4 linked regions of the Caenorhabditis elegans genome follow. The protein of the gene in region 4 purifies or fractionates together with the protein of the main gene of each other region. This does not show direct contact. Each region holds a gene or a part of one and is shown on either strand. Other genes may lie near its edges.

Region 1 (4,591 bases), on a different chromosome or scaffold from region 4:
TCCCTTGATGACCTGCGGTCTTGAAGAAATTGGAAATGAAGGAGAAAGGGGCTCTGCGCGCGAGCTTCACATTATTGTTGCATAAGAAAGTGGGATCTGTACGTCACTAGACGGGCGCGGCGGCTCAGCGGCGGCTGTCAGAATGGTTTAGAGGATGAAAAATAGAATAAAAGCTGGTTTTTAATAGAAAATTGATTTGCCAGACTGTTTAGAAGAGCTAAGAAATTTGGAAAAATTCTAGAATTTTGACTGAAATTAAGGTTTGGCAACATGGAGCGTGCCTCCAGAGATATGGTGCATCCACCGATTTTTTTTTCAACATTCAACTGACCTCAATAAAACATTGATTTTATGACAGAAAATTAGAAAAAAATAAGGCTCCTTGTTTTTACACCCTCGATGCACCATGTTTCCAGCGCAAAAACAATATTCTCTACAATATTTGCACGATGAAACGTCATCAAAATGAAACAAAACCACCACTTGTGTCATTTTCATGACGCCATCAATGACACCTCTTATGCTTTTTCAGTCCCCGCGCGGCTCCGCGAGCAGCACTATAATTTAATTTCCTTTCTCCCCTGTCTTAGGTCATGAGGAAGGAGAGGGCAAGATTGCGTGTTATATGAATGACAAGGGGTGTATATGTGTGTGTGTGTGTGTGTGTGTGCAACAACAACACAAGCTTCGTTGAGCACAACGGAGCATGAGATAATTAGATAGTATGGGGAGAAGGTTTTTTTTTGGAAAAGGGGCATAATTGGAAGCAAAAATGGGTCAAAAGTCAAGAGTTATGAGGCGTTACTGGTAGTTTAATTATTTTAGCAATTCACTTAGGGCAGTGGGGCTTAGGCTTAGGCTTAGGCTTAGTCTCAGGCTTAGGCTTAGGCTTGGTCTTAGGCTTAGGCTTAGTCTTAGCCTTAGGCTTAGGCTTGGCAGCTAACGCTCGCCACTGACGCTATTTAGGCTTGGGTTTATAGCGTTTTTTTCATTTTTTAAAGGGTTCCCGTTGGCCGATCAAAGCGAAATTTAACAGGGAGTCGTATAGGCCACCAAGAAGCTTAAGTCTGAAGTTTAGGCTTAGACTTGGGCCTGGCCTTGGGCTTGGGGTTGGGCTTATGCTCATGCTAAGTCTGAGGCTTAGACTTTGGACACAGCCTCTCAAGCTAGACCCGTCTCCAATGTAGTCGTAGTGACAATGTCTAGACCCCCTCTTTTCTGGGATTTTCTATAAAAGGAAGCCTAACCAGGTTTACCTCGAAAATAGAAATTCTACGTGCTGGACTTTTCCTGAAAAAAAAACGAAATTGAATTCGGTCGGGGGGTAATATCCAAGGCCATCAAATTTTTTTCCAAAGCATGTTCGTATGGTGTTGTAATACGTGTGTGGATGGACCTGATGGGGATAAGCTCATCAATCGGTCTATCTCTCTTCAACAAAATGGGTGCTCTCTTCAATGTCCACCACACACACACACACATACACTCGTTTAATTCAGAAATTCTATTTCTATCTCACTCCGTTGCTCTCGCGTCTCGTTTCTTTGCCCGGGCACCGCTTCCGATTCGGAGAGTGGGGGGGGGGGGGGGGGATAAAGTCAGGGTGCCCCTGAAATTGAGCGGCGGCGCGGCTGGAGACAGAGAAAATCCATATGCATTGGGGGGAGATGAAGAAGAAAAAAAGAGAAATATAGGGGCTCTCGGTTTACAGAAAAAAATTTAAATTAGAAATCATGACGCATTAGCTTTTCCACGTGGCATGAGCTTTTTAAAGCAACCTAGTTCATATGAAAAAAAAGGAGTCTTCAATTAGGTCAGTGCATAAAAATTCGTGGCAATTCGAATTTTAGCCAATTCTGCAATTGTCGAAAATGTCGAATTTTTGAACATTTTGAAACTAGACAAGTGCTGAAAATGCGGAATTTTCTGCAACTTGACAATTGCCAAAAAACCCTGAATACTTGACATTTTCAAAACTCGAAAATTACTAAAGAGCAGTTGCTGGAATTCTCAGAATTTTAAAATTTCACAGAATTTAATTTTTTTTTCAGAGATGACATTCTCAGATTTTTATGAGCTGGGAGAGGAAAATAGTTTGCTCGAGATTTTTCTCGAAAATTTTGTGAATTCAATAATTTTCGGTTTGCCAAAGTATCGATTAGAAAAAAAAAGAAATTTTTAAATTTCGGCGGAAGCATTTTGATAATTTTTGAGAATTTTTAGAATTCAAAAAAAAAAGAAGTTTTTCACAGCCATCAAAAAACATGGTGCATCGAGAGTTGCTCGGAATTTTCGGAAAGTTTCATTCGAAAGGTGGCCGAGTTTTCTATATTCTCGATCATGACCATGAGGAATTTACCAAAGTTTTCAGGGAGAAAACTCGGCCACCAATATCACTCCACGGCCACGACCTAGGGTCTTTAAAAAACCTGGTGCATCGGGGCTTTGTCTCTGAATTTCTAGAAATTTGTGTTTCTGTAAAGCGGGTTTTCATCTTCCCACGGCAATCGGATAAATTATGAGTTTCCTGCCCACGTCACAAGGTCGTCATAAAACATGGTGCATCGAGGCTCTGTCTCTGAATTTTTTGAAAAAAAAAATCGAAATTCGCCACGTTAAACATTTTTTTCTATTGTTTTTGTAAGACCATTAAAATTGCCCGTCTTCATAATTATCTGCTCTAAACACACTAAAGCACAAATAGCTAACCATTAAAACTACCCATAATATAATAATTAACCAGAATTTTTAGTGTGGTAAGAAACCCAGAAAATCTAAGAAAACTTCTCAAAAAATGTCGGTATTTTTTCTTTTTTTTTCTTAAACGCTCCCTTCTTTAAGAATTACCGCTAAGCCCAAAAAAATTGCTAGTTTCGATACCAACTAACCTTCGAAAAAGCTCCCGTCCCAAGGACATCACGAAAATCATATTTCTCCCGAATCGTGGCGTTCGGCGCGGGACCACTCCCATCCCGTCGCTTAAAAAGGGGCATTGGGCTCGTCGAGGGGGAGCCGTTGAGTAAGAAAAAGGAAAAGGAGCAAAAGGGGGGGGGGGGGGGGGAAAAAACTAGAATATGGCTGGAGACGAAGAGAGTTGGAGAGAGATGGAGAACGTCAGAGAAACAGACTCCGCCCCTCCCCCCCAGTGCTCTTTCTCTATCTCTCATCTGACTCTTAAAAGCGAGTGCTTCATCTCGTCATCCACACACACACATCTCGTGTGTTTCCCTTCCCCCAATTGCAATTACTTGCCACCCCGTCTCTGCTCCCTCTCTCCTCCTTGCCAACCGACGTCTTCAGCTTCATCTCCCCCCAGTTTTTCGAGAGAGAGAGAGACCTATGCTGCCAATTTTCTGAGGCAGTGAGAGAGAGAGAAAGTGTCTTTCTCTCCCCTCACTCCGTTCAACTTTCAAGACGGGGGAGAAGGCAAGCAGCTGATTCAATGAATCATAGATCATTGAAGACGTACTTGATGGCCGAGGCGATGATGATGAAGTCGCCGACGTACTTGAGACGTAGTTCGATTCTAAAAGGGAGGGGGTACATGATAAGCTTTAAAAGCTTTAACAGTATCCCTGGAATACCTGTAAAAATATTTTTGGAAAATTTAAGAACGAGGGCGGCTCATGGAGAGACTCTCTTCCAGGGGTGAGTGGCAAACGATTTTTCCGGCAAGCGGCAAATACGGGATTTGCCGAAATCGCAAATTTTCGGCATATTTGGCCAACCAGCAATTTGCCAAATTGCCGAATGAATGTGTCGTGAAAACGGCAAAATTTTACGCATCCTACATCTATTTAGAAAATGCAGTAAATTTTATGAAAATATCTACGACGAAAACATTTTACAAAGACACAGCTTTAAGTGTTTCCGTTTTATAAAAAATCCGTTTAAAAATTTTTGGCAAGTTGAAATCCGGCAAACCGGCAAATTCGTCAAATTACGGAAAGTGGTATTTTTCGGCAAATCGGCAAACCGGCAATTTTCCGACCTCTCGCCTCTGAAAAGTGAGAGAACCCAAAAAGAGGGCACATGAAGACGGCACGGCATTAGCCAAAATTGCACATTTTCGGCAAACCGGTAACTTGCCGATTTGCCGAATTTGTCGAAAAAACGGCAAAATTGTACGCATCCTATGAATGTTTCTTACATTTATTTGGAAAATAAGCAAATTCTATGAAAATATCAACGGCGAAATCTTTTCAAACAGGCACAGTTTTAAGTGTTTCCGTCTTTTAAAAAATCCGTACAAAAACTTTCGGCAATTTGATATCCGGAAAACGGCAAATCGGCAATGTACCGAAAATAAAAATTTCCGGCGAATTCGGCAAACCGGCAATTTGTCGAATTTGCCGGAAGTAAATTTGCCGAACAGTAATTGCCGCCCACCTGTACATCAAGAGATTTCAAAAAAAAAAGTTTGGTACGAAAATTTGAGTCGGATAGGCAAGCCTGCCTGCCTGTATCCGCATTGTTGAAAGTTCAACTAAAATAAAACCCAGCAGGCAGGTGTCGGTCGCATTGTAGGCAGGCAAAGGCAGGCCTACTGAGCTCAGTTTTCTTTGGAAGTCGAGCAATTTGACTTGTAATT
Region 2 (6,692 bases), on a different chromosome or scaffold from region 4:
TTTCATAACGAGACCGCTAAGAAAGTTTTGAGGTTTCCAAAATTCAACTTTTTTGGTGAAAAAGTCGAGATTTTCGCACAAAAAAATTGAATTTTGAAAACCTCAAAACTTTTTCAGCGGTCTCGTTATGAAAATCAGGTAATTTCAGCATCTAAGCATCATATGTATCATGTTTCAGAAAAAGTTTAGGTTTTGTATTCCCGTAATCCATCATATTACATTGACCACTTTCACCGCTGCTTGCCCACTGAATGCATGATTTTTTCACTTGGAAATTGGAAATTGTTTTAGCATCTGCAAAAAATATTTATTTATCAGTTTTATTAAGAAAAAACGAAAAAAATCGATGAAAAACGAAAGAAAACAGGCGGAAAACAAAGCAAGATAAATGGCCGCTGAAACTTGTCGGCCCCTCGGCCATGGCCTAGAAACCACTTTTCCTCGTCCCTCGCGAGGAAAAAGTTGCAGTGTAACTTTCAGACTTCGCGGTGAGACCCATCCGCAAAAAATTTTTCAAAATTTTTCAAAAAACACAGATAAAAAGTAGGTTTTGAACACCTTAAAAGAGGTAAATTTACAACAAAAAATCCAAATTTTCTAGGATAAAAATCAATTATTCATGAAATAAAAGGACCTGAGATAGGAAAGACGGCGATGGAAATTAAGAAACTGCCCACAAAAATTACAAAAAAAAATACAGATACAGAAATATTGTACAAATATGAAAATATGATGAGACCAGTTGATGGGATAAAGATCAAAAAAATTGGAAATAAATGCGCCAAGACTACAGTACCTGGGGTCTCGAAGCGACAATTTTTGTTAAGTGCGTGTGTAAAGGTGTGCGCCTTTAAAGAGTACTGTAACTTCAAAAATTCGTGAATTTTCATCAATTTTTCATAGTTTTTCGATAAAAAAGACAATAAATTTTCACAAATTGTGAGAAAAACTCGACAAAAATTCACAGTTAAACACAGTACTCTTTAAAGGCGCACACTTTTTTCAATTTTCAACTTATCAAAAAAAAAGTTTTCAACTTATCAATTTGGGTCGTGGCGAGACCCGGCTTGGGGTAAAATCGAAGAAATTTCGAGGTTGGGTAATAAAAAGTGGACAAAAAATTGAAAATTTCGGCTAGAAAATTCAATAAAAATCACAAATAATTAGGAGCAGGTGTAGACGGAGGTTTAGCGGATTCCAAAAGTATCATAATCTGCTGCTTTGCAATTATTCGTGCTTCTTCTCCAAGTGTCCTTAGATCCGATACAATTGATGCAGAGAATGCAGAATCTCCGTCGAGAAGTACATCACCGTTGTTTGGTCGCTTTTCAGCCATCATCACGTAGTTTATGCTGGAAATTTCAGGGGTTTATTGATTTTTTTTTTGGCAAAATAAAATTATTATTTTGGAATTATCTGTGATTACTTGTCGGAAAAAATTGCACCAAATCATCAAGTTTTCGCAAATTCCAAATTTTTAAAATTTCATTTTTCTAAATCTTTGAATTTTTTTTTTTGAAAATTTTTCAATTTTTCTAGAGAATCTAATAGAAATCACCGAAAATTGTCTTAAAACCGCCACTATTTGCTTCCGACCAATCAGCGCCCGACTCCGCGCAATTCCGAACCAATCAGCGGCACAGGTCGTCGCTGATTGGTTCAAAAAAGAGAAGGGGCCGAGCGCTGATTGGTTAGAAGTTGATCAATTTTAGAGTCAAATTTCCTCTTTTTTTTTCATCAACTTTTTGCTCATTTTAGCTCACTCACTCATCATCGTAATCTCCATAATCTGACATTTCATCCTGATTTCCTCCGTCATTGTTTCCCCCTCGTTTCAGACTTCGAGCACATCGAGATAGTTGCTCTGCAAAATTTTAGTTTTTTTTAAAGTATTTATTCCGGCGATTTTAGGAGCCACGTAAAATAATACATGGAACTGCGTAATTCGTAATTTCACATATGGCGGTGCGAAATTTTTTACATGTCAAAACAAGAGTTCTAAAACTAAACTCTTTTTTCGTATTTATATTGAGGAAAAAAAACGATTTTAAAGCTGGAGGAGTAGGAGTAAATGAGGGATTTTACTTCAAAATGCGCAAACTGATCCTGAATCTCTCTGCATCCACACTATTGTCCGTAGATCTGCATCCGCACTATTGTCTTCACTTGCGAGGAAAAAACGGGAAAAACTAGAATTAACGTCGCGCAGATACAGATCTACGGAGTGCGGCGCTGAAAAAGGCGCGGCAATTTAAATGATTAGGAGATTAGTCAGAATTGAAAATTAACCAAAATCAACCGATTTTTTTTCAAACTTAATGATTTTTGATTTTTTTTTTCGGGGGCCTTTTATGGTATTTCGGCATTCAGGATCAGTTTGATTTAAAGGTTTTTTGTTTTAATTTTCCAGGAAAAAAAGCTCGTACGTTCATCCAAATGCTGATCTATCCAAGCCATATCATCATACATCTCCCAAGTTGACACATCTTGAACATTCGGATCACCCTGAAGTTGCTAAGAAAAATTTGTAAAATTTCTGTTTAAAACAAAAATAGAGGCTCCACGAAAACGGGATACTGTTGAGAAAGGGGATTCTGGCACTGTGCCAATTTTTTCTCAAAGAAAAATTGAGTTTTGTGCGTTGGCAGTGCCAGGCAGGGAGGGGCAAACGATTTTTTCCGGCAATTCCGGCAAATTTCCAACTTGCCGAATTTGTCGAAAATCGAAATTTCCGGCAAACCGGCAAATCAGCAAATTGCCCGAAATTAAAACTTCCGGCAAATCGCCAAATAGGCAATATCCCGAAAATAAAAATATTCCGGCAAATCGCCAAATTGCCTAAAATTAGAATTTCCGGCAAATCGCCAAACCGGAAATTTGCCGAATATCAAAATTTCCGGCAAATCGCCAAATTTGCCGTTTATCAAAATTTCCGGCAAATCGCCAAATTTGCCGTTTATCAAAATTTCCGGCAAATCGCCAAATCGGCAACTTGCCAAAAATCAAAATTTCCGGCAAATAGGCAATTTTCCAAAAATCAAAATTTCGGGCAAATCGCCAAATTGCCTAAAATTAAAAATTCCGGCATATCGGCAAAATGCCCAAAATGAAAACTTCCGGCAAATAGGCAATTTGCCAAAAATCAAAATTTCCGGAAAACCGGCAAATTGCCTAAAATTAGAATTTCCGGCAAATCGTCACTTTGCCGGGAATCAAAATTTCCGGCAAATAGGTAAACCGGCAACTGCCGCCTGCCAGATCCCATTTTCCATAAGTTCTCCTTTTCATGAGGCCTCCAAATGCCTACCAAATTCCTCAGCCTCCTCTTCTCCCTAACATATCGATCTCGATGCTTCTTCCATTGTTTATAAATCGACGGAACTGTTCCAGGATATCGTAGTTTATCAATAATCATTCCCCATGCTTGAGTACGACAGTCTCCATGACGATATTTTGGATCACGAACATCATAAAGACACGGATGCCTTCTCACTTCAAGAATTAGATTTTTTCCAAAACATGGCTCAGCAATCTTTTCATGAACTCCAGTTGGCTCTTTTCGAGATGGTGATATTTCTGCTCGATCTGTCATATGTGGATCTAGAAAATGAAGATGTTTGAAATATTGCCATGATGATTTCTCATTTCCATATTTTTGTTTTCTCTTCTCTTTTCCATATTTATCTCTTAATTGCTTCCATCTCGCAGATAACATTCTCGGATCACCATCAAAACCGAGTACAGTAACCAGACGCTGCCAAACTCGATTTTTGTATTCTGTATTACGGTATTGTCGGTCTGTATTGTCGAAAAGGCATCGACTATGACGGACGGCTTCGATGAGACGTAGGTTGAATGTCGGTTCGATCATTTCCTCGCCGAAGCGGGTCGCTGTGTAGTTCCTGCAAAAAAAGGTTATTTATGATTTTTTTTAGAAAAATCAGATAATTTTCTGATTTTTTTAAGCGAACTTTTTTTTCGGAAAAATGCTTTTTGGGATTTTTTTGAGTGAATTTTTGATTTTTCTAATTTGAAAAAAAAAACTGATAACATCAAACTTTATCCAAAAATATGTTCTTAAAGGAAAACGCGATTTTTTGAATTTTTATCGAATATATAATTTTAAAAAATAGTTTTTCTGTCGGAAATTAATTTTTTTTTAAATTTTTTACAAAAAAAGCGCAGTTTTTTTTAAAAAGAAAATCGAGTATTTTTTCTCAAGAAAAAACACCTTAAGATTTTTAAAGATTTTTATCGAAAAAAAATGTGTTTTTAATGGAAGATCAAGTTTTTTTTTAATTCAATTTTTTTTGATAGAATATATAATTAAAAAATGGACTTGTTTCGAAAATTAACTTTTTTAAATTTTCGTATTAAAAAAATTGCAATTTTTTCGAAAAATCTGGTATTTTTCGAAGGTTTTTAGAAACATCTTTTTTTTAAAGTAAAAAACGTTTTTTTTTTTCGAAAAAAAGTGTTTGCAAAAACTGATTTTTTACCTTTTTAAAATAAAAAATTGTTTGTTGAAAAAAAAAAATTTTGACAACAAAAGTTTTTTTTTAATTTTTTTATTTAGTAGATTAAATTATTTTTAGCACTTCGTAAGTACTTACAATTAGAAAAATTTTCTTTTTTCATATATAAAAAATTGTTGATTTTTCGCCAATTTATCGGAAAATAAATTGGATCTTTTTTGAGAAAAATCTGATTTTTTTTTTCAAAAATTCGATTTTTCTAAATTTATCCAAATATCATTTTAAACTCACATATCGTATTGTTCTTCGTGATATAAATGCTGATAGTTGTGCTCACTGGAGATCATGATTAGCTGAAAGTGTTAGAGCAATCGCTTTTTGAGACGGCTTTTAGAGATATTATGAGGAAGGTTTTAAGGAAACCATTATGGGGAATAAAAAGAAAATAGATGTGATAGAAAATATTGATTTTTTTTCAAAAGAAATCAACAACAAAAAAACAAAACAAAACAAAAAAAGTAACAATTTAAATCTAAAACAACAGAAATCGCAAGCTCGTGTACTCCACGAGGAGAAGTAAAGTACTAGAATTTTGAATTTAACACTAAAAAAAAATGATTTTTTGCTTTAAATCCCAGAAAAAAAATGAGATTTTCAATTTTTGGTGATTTTTGGCAACTTAAAAATTTTAATTTTAAATTAAAAATTTGCATTTTGTTAACAGTTGCTGTTCGGCAAATTTCTTTGTCGACAAAATCGGCAAATCGGCGAATTGTCGACCTGCCGATTTACCGAACATAAATTTGCAGGAATTTTTTGGAAGAATTTTTACGAGACGGAAAAACTTGAAACTGTGCTTTTTTGAAATTTTTTTGTCGGTTTTCTAGATATTTTCATAGAATTTGCCAATTTTCAAATTAGATGTAGGAATAGTCATAGGATGCGTACAGTTTTGCCGATTAAAATTTAAATTCTGAAATATCAAAAAAAAAAAAGGTAAAAAATCGCAATTTGCCGAAAATCTATGGCAATTTCCGTTTTTTCGGCAAGTTGCAGGTTTGCCGATTTACCGCAAATTTTCAATTCCGGCAAATTTGCCGATTTGCCGGAAAAAAATCGTTTGCCGCAAACACAACTTTAAATGCCAAAAATATACCGTAATTTTAATTTGAAAAAGTGGAGATTTGCAATTTTTGGTAATTTTTGGCCACTTTTAATTGTTTTAATTGTTCAAAAATTTGCATTTTGTTAACAGTTTTCTGTAATTTTGAGCAAAAACTGTAAAAATTTTGCACTTCTCCACGAGGAGTACACGAGCCGCGTAAATCGACACAAGCTGAACAAAAATTACAATATTTAAAATGAATTCAATTTTCTTCCTTTTTCACTTTTTTCGCCGCCAATTTCTTCTGAAATCGATCTCTTTTATCCAATTGTCCACTAATTTTCTCCAGCTTTCTCTTGGAATTTGTCATTCTTCGAGTCCTCATTTCCTCCAAATGCCTATCAGCTTCATCTTCATCCATTCCACTCATCAGAAGCTCTTTTCTTCGATTAATCTCCTTTTTCTCTCCGAATTTCTGATTTTCCAGCTTCAACTCGGCTTCTTTCTTCGCCACAAGCACTTGGGTGACGTATTTGGTGACATGTTTTGGGCTGACCTGAAAAAAATGCGAAAATTAAGGGAATTTATTGATTAAAAAGTAGATTTTTTGTGTAGAGAAATGAAAAGAGACGGGGGAAAAAATGATGAAAAAAAAATTATTTGCGTCAATATAGAGAGAAACGCAGTCAACTAGAGAGTGAAAAATGAGAGGAAAATATTTTTTTTTGGCGTCATTGAAAGTGGAAGGAGTTTGGAAATTCAATATTTTGGCGGGAAATTCAAATTTTTTGAAAAAAAATGTTTCTTCCGCCTTTTTCGTGTTTTTAGCAGAAAAACTCGCTTTTTTCGAAAAAAAAATTAAAAATTTTCCTTTTTTATCCAAAATATGGCACTGGAAAATTACAAAAGAAGTGCAATTTTTGTTTTTTTTTCGCTTTTTTTCTAGATTTTCCGAAAAAAAAATATAGCTTCAAATTTAGGCAATTTTTCCCTATTTTTTGCCGAAAATTATATGTTTCTCATGTTTTTTGAAATCAAATTTTAGAAAAAAAATTCAATTTTTTAAAGATTTAAAGATTTTTCTTTAAAATATTTTTTCAGGTAAATATGCG
Region 3 (4,163 bases), on a different chromosome or scaffold from region 4:
TTCGAAAGAAACCCAAATAAAGTGAGGTTTCGCTTTGATAAGTTTTGTAACTTCTATCGACATATTGTAGAGATATTGGAGCAATCTTCAAGAACATTTTCGGCGAAGACGATTCACCAGTATGCATTGTTGGACACAGTATGGGTGGTGCATTGGCCATTCATACATTGAATGCAAAGATGATTTCTTCAAAAGTCGCTGCACTCATTGTCATTGATGTTGTCGAAGGTTCCGCTATGGAAGCACTTGGAGGAATGGTTCATTTTTTACATTCAAGGCCTTCTTCATTTCCTTCTATCGAAAAAGCCATTCACTGGTGCCTTTCTTCGGGTACAGCGAGGAATCCCACAGCTGCACGGGTCTCAATGCCGTCTCAAATTAGAGAAGTATCGGAACACGAGTACACTTGGCGAATTGATTTAACAACAACAGAACAGTACTGGAAAGGATGGTTTGAAGGATTATCCAAAGAATTTTTGGGATGTTCCGTTCCGAAGATGCTTGTTCTAGCGGGCGTTGATCGGCTGGACAGGGATCTCACAATTGGTCAAATGCAGGGAAAGTTTCAGACTTGTGTGTTACCAAAAGTTGGACATTGTGTTCAGGTAAATGTTATACTCAATTAATAATTTATATAAATTGTCTTGCAGGAAGATAGCCCACAAAATCTTGCAGATGAAGTCGGAAGATTCGCTTGCCGCCATAGAATTGCCCAACCGAAATTCTCAGCCCTTGCATCACCACCAGATCCAGCGATTCTCGAATACAGAAAACGTCATCACCAATAATTGCTCATTTTGTTTTCCAATATTTTCACAACATTTCTATACAAGTTAAGAAAAAAATATTTTATATGAAAAGATTATCGATTAAATTTCCCGTCTTTTTAGTTCTTGGGAATAATAAATGTCAGCGACATACGAATGAATCGATTATTTTAGAGGAGAGGCAGATGCCAAAAAATTACAGTCAAAAAGAAGTATTCGTGAAAGAGTGCGCAAATCGAGAGACGCAGACAGAATGCAAACGCGCTCCGCTGAACTGTGGCCGCCAAGCGTTTCGTTTAAAAGGGAGCGTTGTCTATTTTCCTATCTATTCTTGCCAGTTTTATTTTATTTCGCAACTATCTTTTTACTACGATTTTCGAAAATATTTTCAAATTCAAGAATGTAATTATTTTGTGTTTCAGAAACCATGTCGACTTCTGTTAAGCATCGTGAGTTCGTCGGAGAGCCAATGGGCGACAAAGAAGTCACATGCATCGCCGGGATCGGGCCAACATATGGCACCAAGCTCACCGATGCAGGCTTCGATAAAGTATGTAGATTTTTTTTTCTCAAATTTTCGATCAATGTTAAAATTTGAATTTCAGGCCTACGTACTGTTCGGACAGTATCTCCTTCTGAAGAAAGACGAGGATTTGTTTATCGAATGGCTGAAAGAGACGGCTGGAGTGACTGCAAATCACGCGAAGACGGCGTTCAATTGTTTGAACGAGTGGGCAGATCAGTTCATGTAAACTGCTCAATATTTCTGCTAAGCATCGATTTGATTCTCCTCTATAATCATCAATGGCCATATTTGCACTTCGAAAAACACCATTTGTTCCAGTGTAGTCGTTTTCCGCTTTGCGACTATGCCCCATTTCAAATTAATCTGTTTCTGAAATATTTCTCATACTTCCAAGTTTTCCCCCTTGTCGTGTGGTCTTGGACTACGGTTCTTGTTTTGTTTTTGACTTTAATTTTGCGATTTTTCTCCCTCCAAATAAAATATTTTCTACGATCCTGAAGAGTGTTTCTAAGTTTTTTATTACGAAAGTTGTCGTTCGAAAGTTTACTTGGAATAAAAACAATATTTTCTATTCTATGGTGATTTCCAGATGCCTCCGAAAAGGGCTGTGAAAAAGAAGGTACAGACCACAGAAAAAGCTCGCCCAACATTGGATCAGGAGATAAAATGTGAGCATTTTTACACGGGTTGGCGGCAATTCGACAATTATCGAAGTTAAAAATTAATTTTTTTTTTCAAAAAATATACTGAAAAATACATTTTCAAATGTGTGTTTCCAAAAAAGTTTCGGATTTGTTACAATATTCACACGGAATTTATTTTTTCAGTAGATGACTCAAATGAGCTTGAACCATCGATTCGAAGTGTTGTGACGAGTTTGATGTTCACTTCGGGAGACGACGAAAATCCACTTTCTGAAAATGAAGATTTCGTTGTGAATATACTGAAAAACGAGTTGGTTCTCTTTATTAACGATGTTATAGAGGTTTATGATAATAAGTAAGCAGATTTTTTTTTTCCGAAATAATTCAAACATTTACAGAATTCCAAATGTGAAGCTACAACATATGCTTCAACTTCTCAACAGTCAAAAAGGAGTACTTTCTCGTTTTATTAAATATCTCAAGAATCGTGTGGAAATGTCGGCATTCATGAGAGCGAAATCATTTTCTAAAAACGGAACTGAAAATATTTGTGGACAAGAAGTAGAGAATGAAGATGAAACGGTCTGTAAAACTGAAAAAAATTAAATTTAGAATAATTACTTTCAGACTGATGAAAAGATAGAAGAGGGAGTTGATCCAATGGATGAAATTGGTGAAGTTGGTGGAGAAGAGGGAGAATATTTGAAAAATAAGAGGTTATTACTATTACTGTCTTAATTTGTATTTTTGGGGGCAAAAAATCGAATTTTTGCGTCTGAAAATATTAGAAAATTTTTGAAATATTACAGGAGAACGTACGGTACAATTACATCCGAGGAAAACCTGCTTCAAGAAGCTCAAAAGTCGTTTTTCGATGCTGGATTAGATTTCAATACATTCGAAAATGATGTGGATGAGAATCACAATCAACAATTAATAGTTCTTCAAACAATTCTCGAAGATATGAACGCTGATGAATACAGTCGATTCGCACTTGCTCGACGTGTCAGTTTCCAGAATCAATCAGCAGTTCCTGTGGTTTATAGTGACACATTTTCAAAGTCAAATGCAAGAAAAAGGTAATAATATTACACAATGCGAAATTTTGCGGTATCCGGTCCCGAAGCGACCGGTTTTCTTAAATTCTATAGAGCTTGCACCTTTAAGGGGTACTGTAGAGCTAACTTTTAAGTATTTCAAAACTTTTTTTTCTCAATGAACTTCAGGGGAAATGAAAGCCTCTCAAAAATTAAAGAAAATCGCGCTTTTTTTTTTGAAGGTAAACATTTACTAACATTTTTCCTAATTTCAGAAAACGATCGCCTCCAACAAACAATCGTCAACTTCTGCTCCAATGGCTTGGAAATCCACCAGTTCACGACGAATCCGCTCAAGTTTTTCTCGCATTTCTCGCCAAAGATATTATCTCGGAGATCGTTGGAAATGCCCTTCTGGAGCGACGAAAAGTGAGTTCAAGCTCACTAATTGTTCATATTTATCTCCATATTTTCAGATGAATCCCGCAGAAGGAGGTCCACTGAGCTACTCTTATTACGAGGAACCTTTGCGCAGAAACAGAAAATTCCGAAAATACGGCAGGATTTTGATTTAAATTTTAATGGCTTTATAATACTAAAAGATCTCATTATTTGTGTCAGTTTTTTTCAATTTTATAAATAATTGGTAACAAATATCTGAAAAAAAAAACTAGAGAATTTAAGCATTTATCATTTTAAACAAATTCAAATGTGATAACGATAACACGTAAACTGCGATACACGAGATCAATAGCCGGTGTGTTTTGGGTGTGGGTGGATGTGAAAAAAATATTCAAACGGGGATTTTTGTGTCATTTCCTATAGAAAGATAAAAAAGGATACTACTAGAAAAATGTGTTAGTTTTTTGGAAAAATTGAAAATACATTTTCGAGAAACATGCAATAAAGACTATAGATACAATGTTTGAAAAAATGCGAATAAGCCTAGAAAGACACGTCCTAAAAACGGAGTATCAACAAACGAATGGGGGTGCACCTATATTGAGCGTTTTCATGTCAGCGAGAGATCTCAAGCGGCATAAGACTCAAGAGATTCACTAACTTTTTTCGTTTTTTTCAGAAATAAACGAACCGGAAGGGAAAAGTATCACAACATAAAGGAGAAATGAGCAAATTAGTAAGAGAAAGATTGGCGAGAGAAATGAAAAAAAGAGTGGGCTACTTCTTG
Region 4 (4,204 bases):
TTCATTGATTTTTCAACTCGTCAAATAGGTTTTCGCAACTATTTTTCCATATTCTCGTGATTTATCATTCTGTAAAAACATTTCTTAGGTCTCTTTTGATTGTTTATTCCCTTTTCCTGGTTTCCCATTATAGGTTAAAACCTGAAAACCCTTGCGCCGGGTCGGATTATGCTTTAGTTTTCACCGCCGCTCCGTTTCGCGCGCGCGCTTATATAATCCCCTTGTACAGCAGCCCTTTTTCGTATTAATGTTCCATATCGAAAATGCGCTCCGCTGAGAATTGGTCGGCTTTTTTTGTTGTTGACGCGGTGTCTGCTGATGTTCTTTCGGACGTATGATGAGATGAAGGAAGAACTAGTTTTTGTGTTCAGACTTCTTCATTGACGAACACGTCTCCGTTCTTTTCTTGTTGCGGTGGTGGTGGTGGTCGTCGCAGATGAATAAGACGTTGGCCGTTTTCGCTACACCCCCCCCCCCCCCCCTCCCCATCCCCCAATTTCAACTTCTCGTTTTGCGTGCAAAACAAGAGGAAATTGAAGTATTGTGGGGATAATTCGATAACCAGAACACGCACACACACTGACCCCTATCTTCTCTCTTTTTTGTTGTTTCATTTCTTTTCCTTCCGCAAGACGTCTCGGCCATCAGAGTTTTCCGATTATTATGTGTAATGGAATATCCGCAGGGGATCTTTGATCTACCCACTGGAAATTTGTTTTTTTTTGGTGGATTTTTGACAGAAATCACGCGCTCTCCTCAAAGCCGAATAATTTTCTACGTTTCGCATTTCTGCATCCGCGGTGTTTTGCCTTTCCACACGTTGTGTCAGAGTGTCTCATTCCGGCTTGATCTACAAAGATCTACAAAAAATGCGGGAGAAGAGACAACAGAGTTCTCAACTGATTTTGCATTGTTAAGAACGTGCTGACATCACATTTATTGGGCAAAATTCCCGCATTTTTTGTAGATCAAACCGTAATGGGACAGCCCAGCCTGGCACCACGTGTTTCCACTGAAAGTAGATGTTTTTTTTTCAGCATTTCACGGACAAACCTATTGCTAGACAGTGAACATCGAAATTAAAATGACTAAAATGAACTTTTTTCGTCTACTGGTTGTGAAAAGGTTTGAAATTGAAAAAATCAACGAGATTTTTCTTATTTTCTAAATATTTTCCTATTAAAAATTGATTTTAATCCATTTGTGACCTTACTTTAGAGTCAAAAGTGGTTTAAAACCGATTTTCGATAGAAAAATAGATTCAGAAAATAACAAAAAAAAATATCCCGCTGATTTTTTCAACTTTTTCTCAACCAGTGGACGAAAAAAGTTGATTTTCGTCATTTTGGTTTGTTCCTAAGATTCAATAAATCTGATTTTTTCAGTGGACAGGCAAAAACATCGCGGATGCAGAAACGCAAAGCGCGTAGCAAGCGCGCTCTAATAATAATTCGGCTTTGAGGAGAGTGAAATCGCTAAATATTTCCAATTCGACAAAATCAACCTTTGATTTCGTCTCCTTCTCTCTTCATTTCGAAATATAAAATTTGTACCTATCGTTGGCTTATCAGTCAGTAAATTCTCTCTAGTTCTTCTCTATTTTCTCTCTTTTCTCTCTTTTTTCGATTATTCTCTCCGATTTTTTCTCTCTCGTCACCGTTTCACCCACCGGTATTCATCATTGTTTACGTCGTTCCGCTCGCTTTCAAACAATTTATATTGATTTTAATTAATTAATTAATTATCCTTTTTCATTTTTCAGGGTTTTCTAACAACACCCCCTGCACAGCGAAAGCAAGATGGCCGATCAACTGACCGAGGAGCAAATTGCCGGTACTTTTTTAAATTCTGATTGATGGACGGAGGACCGGGAGATTGAAGAAATCTAATCCTCTCTCATTTCGAAGCGAATTGAGCAGAAACCAAGCGGCGCGGCGTAGAAATTTAAATTTAATGGATGAAACATTAGCCGTAGCAGCAGATGTATAGCGCCACTATTTTTGTGTGTTTTATTCCAGATGTTGGCTGGTTCTCGCGGCGAAAAATCTATCAACAATTGTATAAAAAACTACAAAATTCGAGAAAAAACCAAATCAATTTTGCCAAATTTTCAGAGTTCAAGGAGGCATTCAGTTTGTTCGACAAGGACGGCGATGGCACAATCACCACCAAGGAATTGGGAACTGTTATGCGGTCTTTGGGACAAAATCCGACTGAAGCCGAGCTTCAGGACATGATCAACGAAGTGGACGCTGACGGAAACGGAACCATCGATTTCCCAGAGTTCTTGACGATGATGGCCCGCAAGATGAAGGACACGGACAGTGAGGAGGAGATTCGTGAGGCGTTCCGAGTAAGAGATTTGTGGAAATTTATAAATTCATTTTTGATTCACTATAGAGAAGCCTCATGTAGTATAGAAAATCTCATTCAAATCTTCCTATTTGCAGGTTTTCGACAAGGACGGAAATGGCTTCATCTCGGCCGCTGAACTGCGCCACGTCATGACCAACTTGGGAGAGAAGCTAACGGACGAAGAGGTCGACGAGATGATCCGTGAAGCCGATATCGACGGAGATGGACAAGTCAATTATGAGGGTGAGTCCTTACAAGACCTTTTTTTTTCGAAATTTCATCAAATTTCCCATATTTCAGAGTTCGTCACCATGATGACAACCAAGTAAATCACACCAATCGGGATCTGAAGCCGCCGTATCGTTTGCGAATCACCAACACCTTTTCTCTCACCTTTCGTTTTTTTATTCTTCCCCGCTTGAAAATTGTGATTTCGCTCTCGAGCCCCAAAAAAAAATTGCCAAGCCCAGTCAAAAAATGCTATAAATGATGTAATTTATGTTCAAATTTAAGTTTTTTTGCCTCTTTTTTGACAGACGTGCTCTCAACCTAATTTTGTTTTTTTCTTAGAATGTGAAACTCATTTATAAGTCATTTTTTTCTTATTTCCTCTTTACAATGATTGAGTTTCTTCTTCTCCTGCCCCTGCCCCCAAATTAAAAAGTCCCGGATCCTCCAGTTCTTGGTCGCCTGCCCCGGCTTGACCCTTCCTCAAAATAATGCCTCCAACCTGTAAAACCCCATAAAAAAATTTAAAAAACTTAAAAAAAACCGCTGGCTTCTTCTTTTCCCACTTGGTATTTTTCTCATATTTTCTCTTCTTCCAAATTGTTCTTCCCAAAAAATGTATTCCAAACTCGAAAATCTTTCTTTCCTCTCTCTTTCCCCCTCAACCATTTATAGAAAGTGTAGAAAATTCCCTCTTTTCGCACCACACACACACCGTCACACGGGCCATTTTAAAATTGTACCTGAAATATTTTCTGTTGCTTTGAATTTCGATTTCGACAAGCAACGGCAAAAAATTTTGGCGCCTAGTGAACACTTTTTGCACCATTGCTTTCTTTTTTTTTGTTTTGGATTTTTTCTTTGAAAATTCCTATTTTATATTATTGTAAAAGTCAAAGTCTCCAAAATCCTTTAATAATTTAATTCCATTCTTCCCAACCAACCCACCACCACCACCGTCTCTATAATCTCTGAACAATTCAAATTTTTATCTCTGATTATCTCGCTTCTCTCGTCCCTTGATGCGAACTTATTCAACAAAAAAAAAAGAAAATCTTCAAATGAAACTTGATTTTTTTTGAATGCTTTGGGGTTTTTCAATCAAAAAGTCAATTTAAAAATTAAAAAGAACAATTTTATTTTTTTGAAAAAAAACTTCTCACATCATCGAAATAGGTGCTCCGACGGTGGACATTTGAAGTTGATCGGCTTGCTGCTGATTATCGACGACAAAGACGGAAAGGTTCACATTTTTTTGCCGGAAAAAATCGATTATAATGAAGCCGAGTTGTCGTCTGAAAATTGAAAAAGTTGAAAAGCGGCAGGCTCCACCCCCAAACGTTGGGTCTCGTTAGGTATTGACGGCAAACATGATGATTCAATATTAAAGGACCACAAAACACTGCTACTGCGTATCGCACAACATATTTGACGCGCAGAATATCTCGCAGCGAAGTCTACAGTAACCCCTTAAATTACTACTGTTACTACTGTTACTACTGTGTCGATTTACGGGCTCGATTTTCGAAATGAATTTATTTTCGAATAGTAGTGACAGTTTTTTTTGCATTATTTGATAAATTTCAATATTTTAGCAATAAATAAATTATTCATTTCAAAA

Evidence for each region.
Region 1: the proteins of cmd-1 (region 4) and cmk-1 purify together in Caenorhabditis elegans (affinity purification with western blotting; one study listed by BioGRID). This does not show direct contact.
Region 2: the proteins of cmd-1 (region 4) and madf-3 purify together in Caenorhabditis elegans (affinity purification with western blotting; one study listed by BioGRID). This does not show direct contact.
Region 3: the proteins of cmd-1 (region 4) and tag-342 purify together in Caenorhabditis elegans (affinity purification with western blotting; one study listed by BioGRID). This does not show direct contact.

What each region holds. Positions count from the first base shown.
Region 1 is NC_003282.8:1,822,930-1,827,520, reverse strand, and holds the start of cmk-1 (Calcium/calmodulin-dependent protein kinase type 1), read right to left. Parts: upstream 3,041-4,591; 5' UTR 2,994-3,040; coding exon 2,889-2,993; intron 1-2,888. UniProt on the Caenorhabditis elegans protein: Calcium/calmodulin-dependent protein kinase that operates in the calcium-triggered CaMKK-CaMK1 signaling cascade which results in transcriptional activation. Transcriptional activation occurs at least in part through phosphorylation of crh-1.
Region 2 is NC_003280.10:4,332,886-4,339,577, reverse strand, and holds madf-3 (Alcohol dehydrogenase transcription factor myb/sant-like protein), read right to left. Parts: upstream 4,831-6,692; 5' UTR 4,767-4,830; intron 3,903-4,766; 5' UTR 3,872-3,902; coding exon 3,308-3,871; intron 2,506-3,307; coding exon 2,427-2,505; intron 1,865-2,426; coding exon 1,768-1,864; intron 1,353-1,767; coding exon 1,154-1,352; 3' UTR 540-1,153; downstream 1-539. Other genes in the region: H20J04.4 (RNA helicase), read right to left, coding at 5,843-6,136.
Region 3 is NC_003281.10:9,466,275-9,470,437, forward strand, and holds tag-342 (transcription initiation factor TFIID subunit 13 family protein), read left to right. Parts: upstream 1-1,882; coding exon 1,883-1,961; intron 1,962-2,120; coding exon 2,121-2,292; intron 2,293-2,335; coding exon 2,336-2,519; intron 2,520-2,564; coding exon 2,565-2,653; intron 2,654-2,746; coding exon 2,747-3,016; intron 3,017-3,249; coding exon 3,250-3,403; intron 3,404-3,450; coding exon 3,451-3,549; 3' UTR 3,550-3,625; downstream 3,626-4,163. Other genes in the region: B0464.9 (putative protein phosphatase methylesterase 1), read left to right, coding at 1-21, 71-605, 651-788; baf-1 (Barrier-to-autointegration factor 1), read left to right, coding at 1,195-1,317, 1,373-1,519.
Region 4 is NC_003283.11:1,154,509-1,158,712, forward strand, and holds cmd-1 (Calmodulin), read left to right. Parts: upstream 1-1,762; 5' UTR 1,763-1,799; coding exon 1,800-1,833; intron 1,834-2,114; coding exon 2,115-2,353; intron 2,354-2,450; coding exon 2,451-2,598; intron 2,599-2,655; coding exon 2,656-2,684; 3' UTR 2,685-3,681; downstream 3,682-4,204. Other genes in the region: T21H3.5 (Serpentine Receptor, class H), read right to left, coding at 3,743-3,878. UniProt on the Caenorhabditis elegans protein: Calmodulin mediates the control of a large number of enzymes, ion channels and other proteins by Ca(2+). Among the enzymes to be stimulated by the calmodulin-Ca(2+) complex are a number of protein kinases and phosphatases.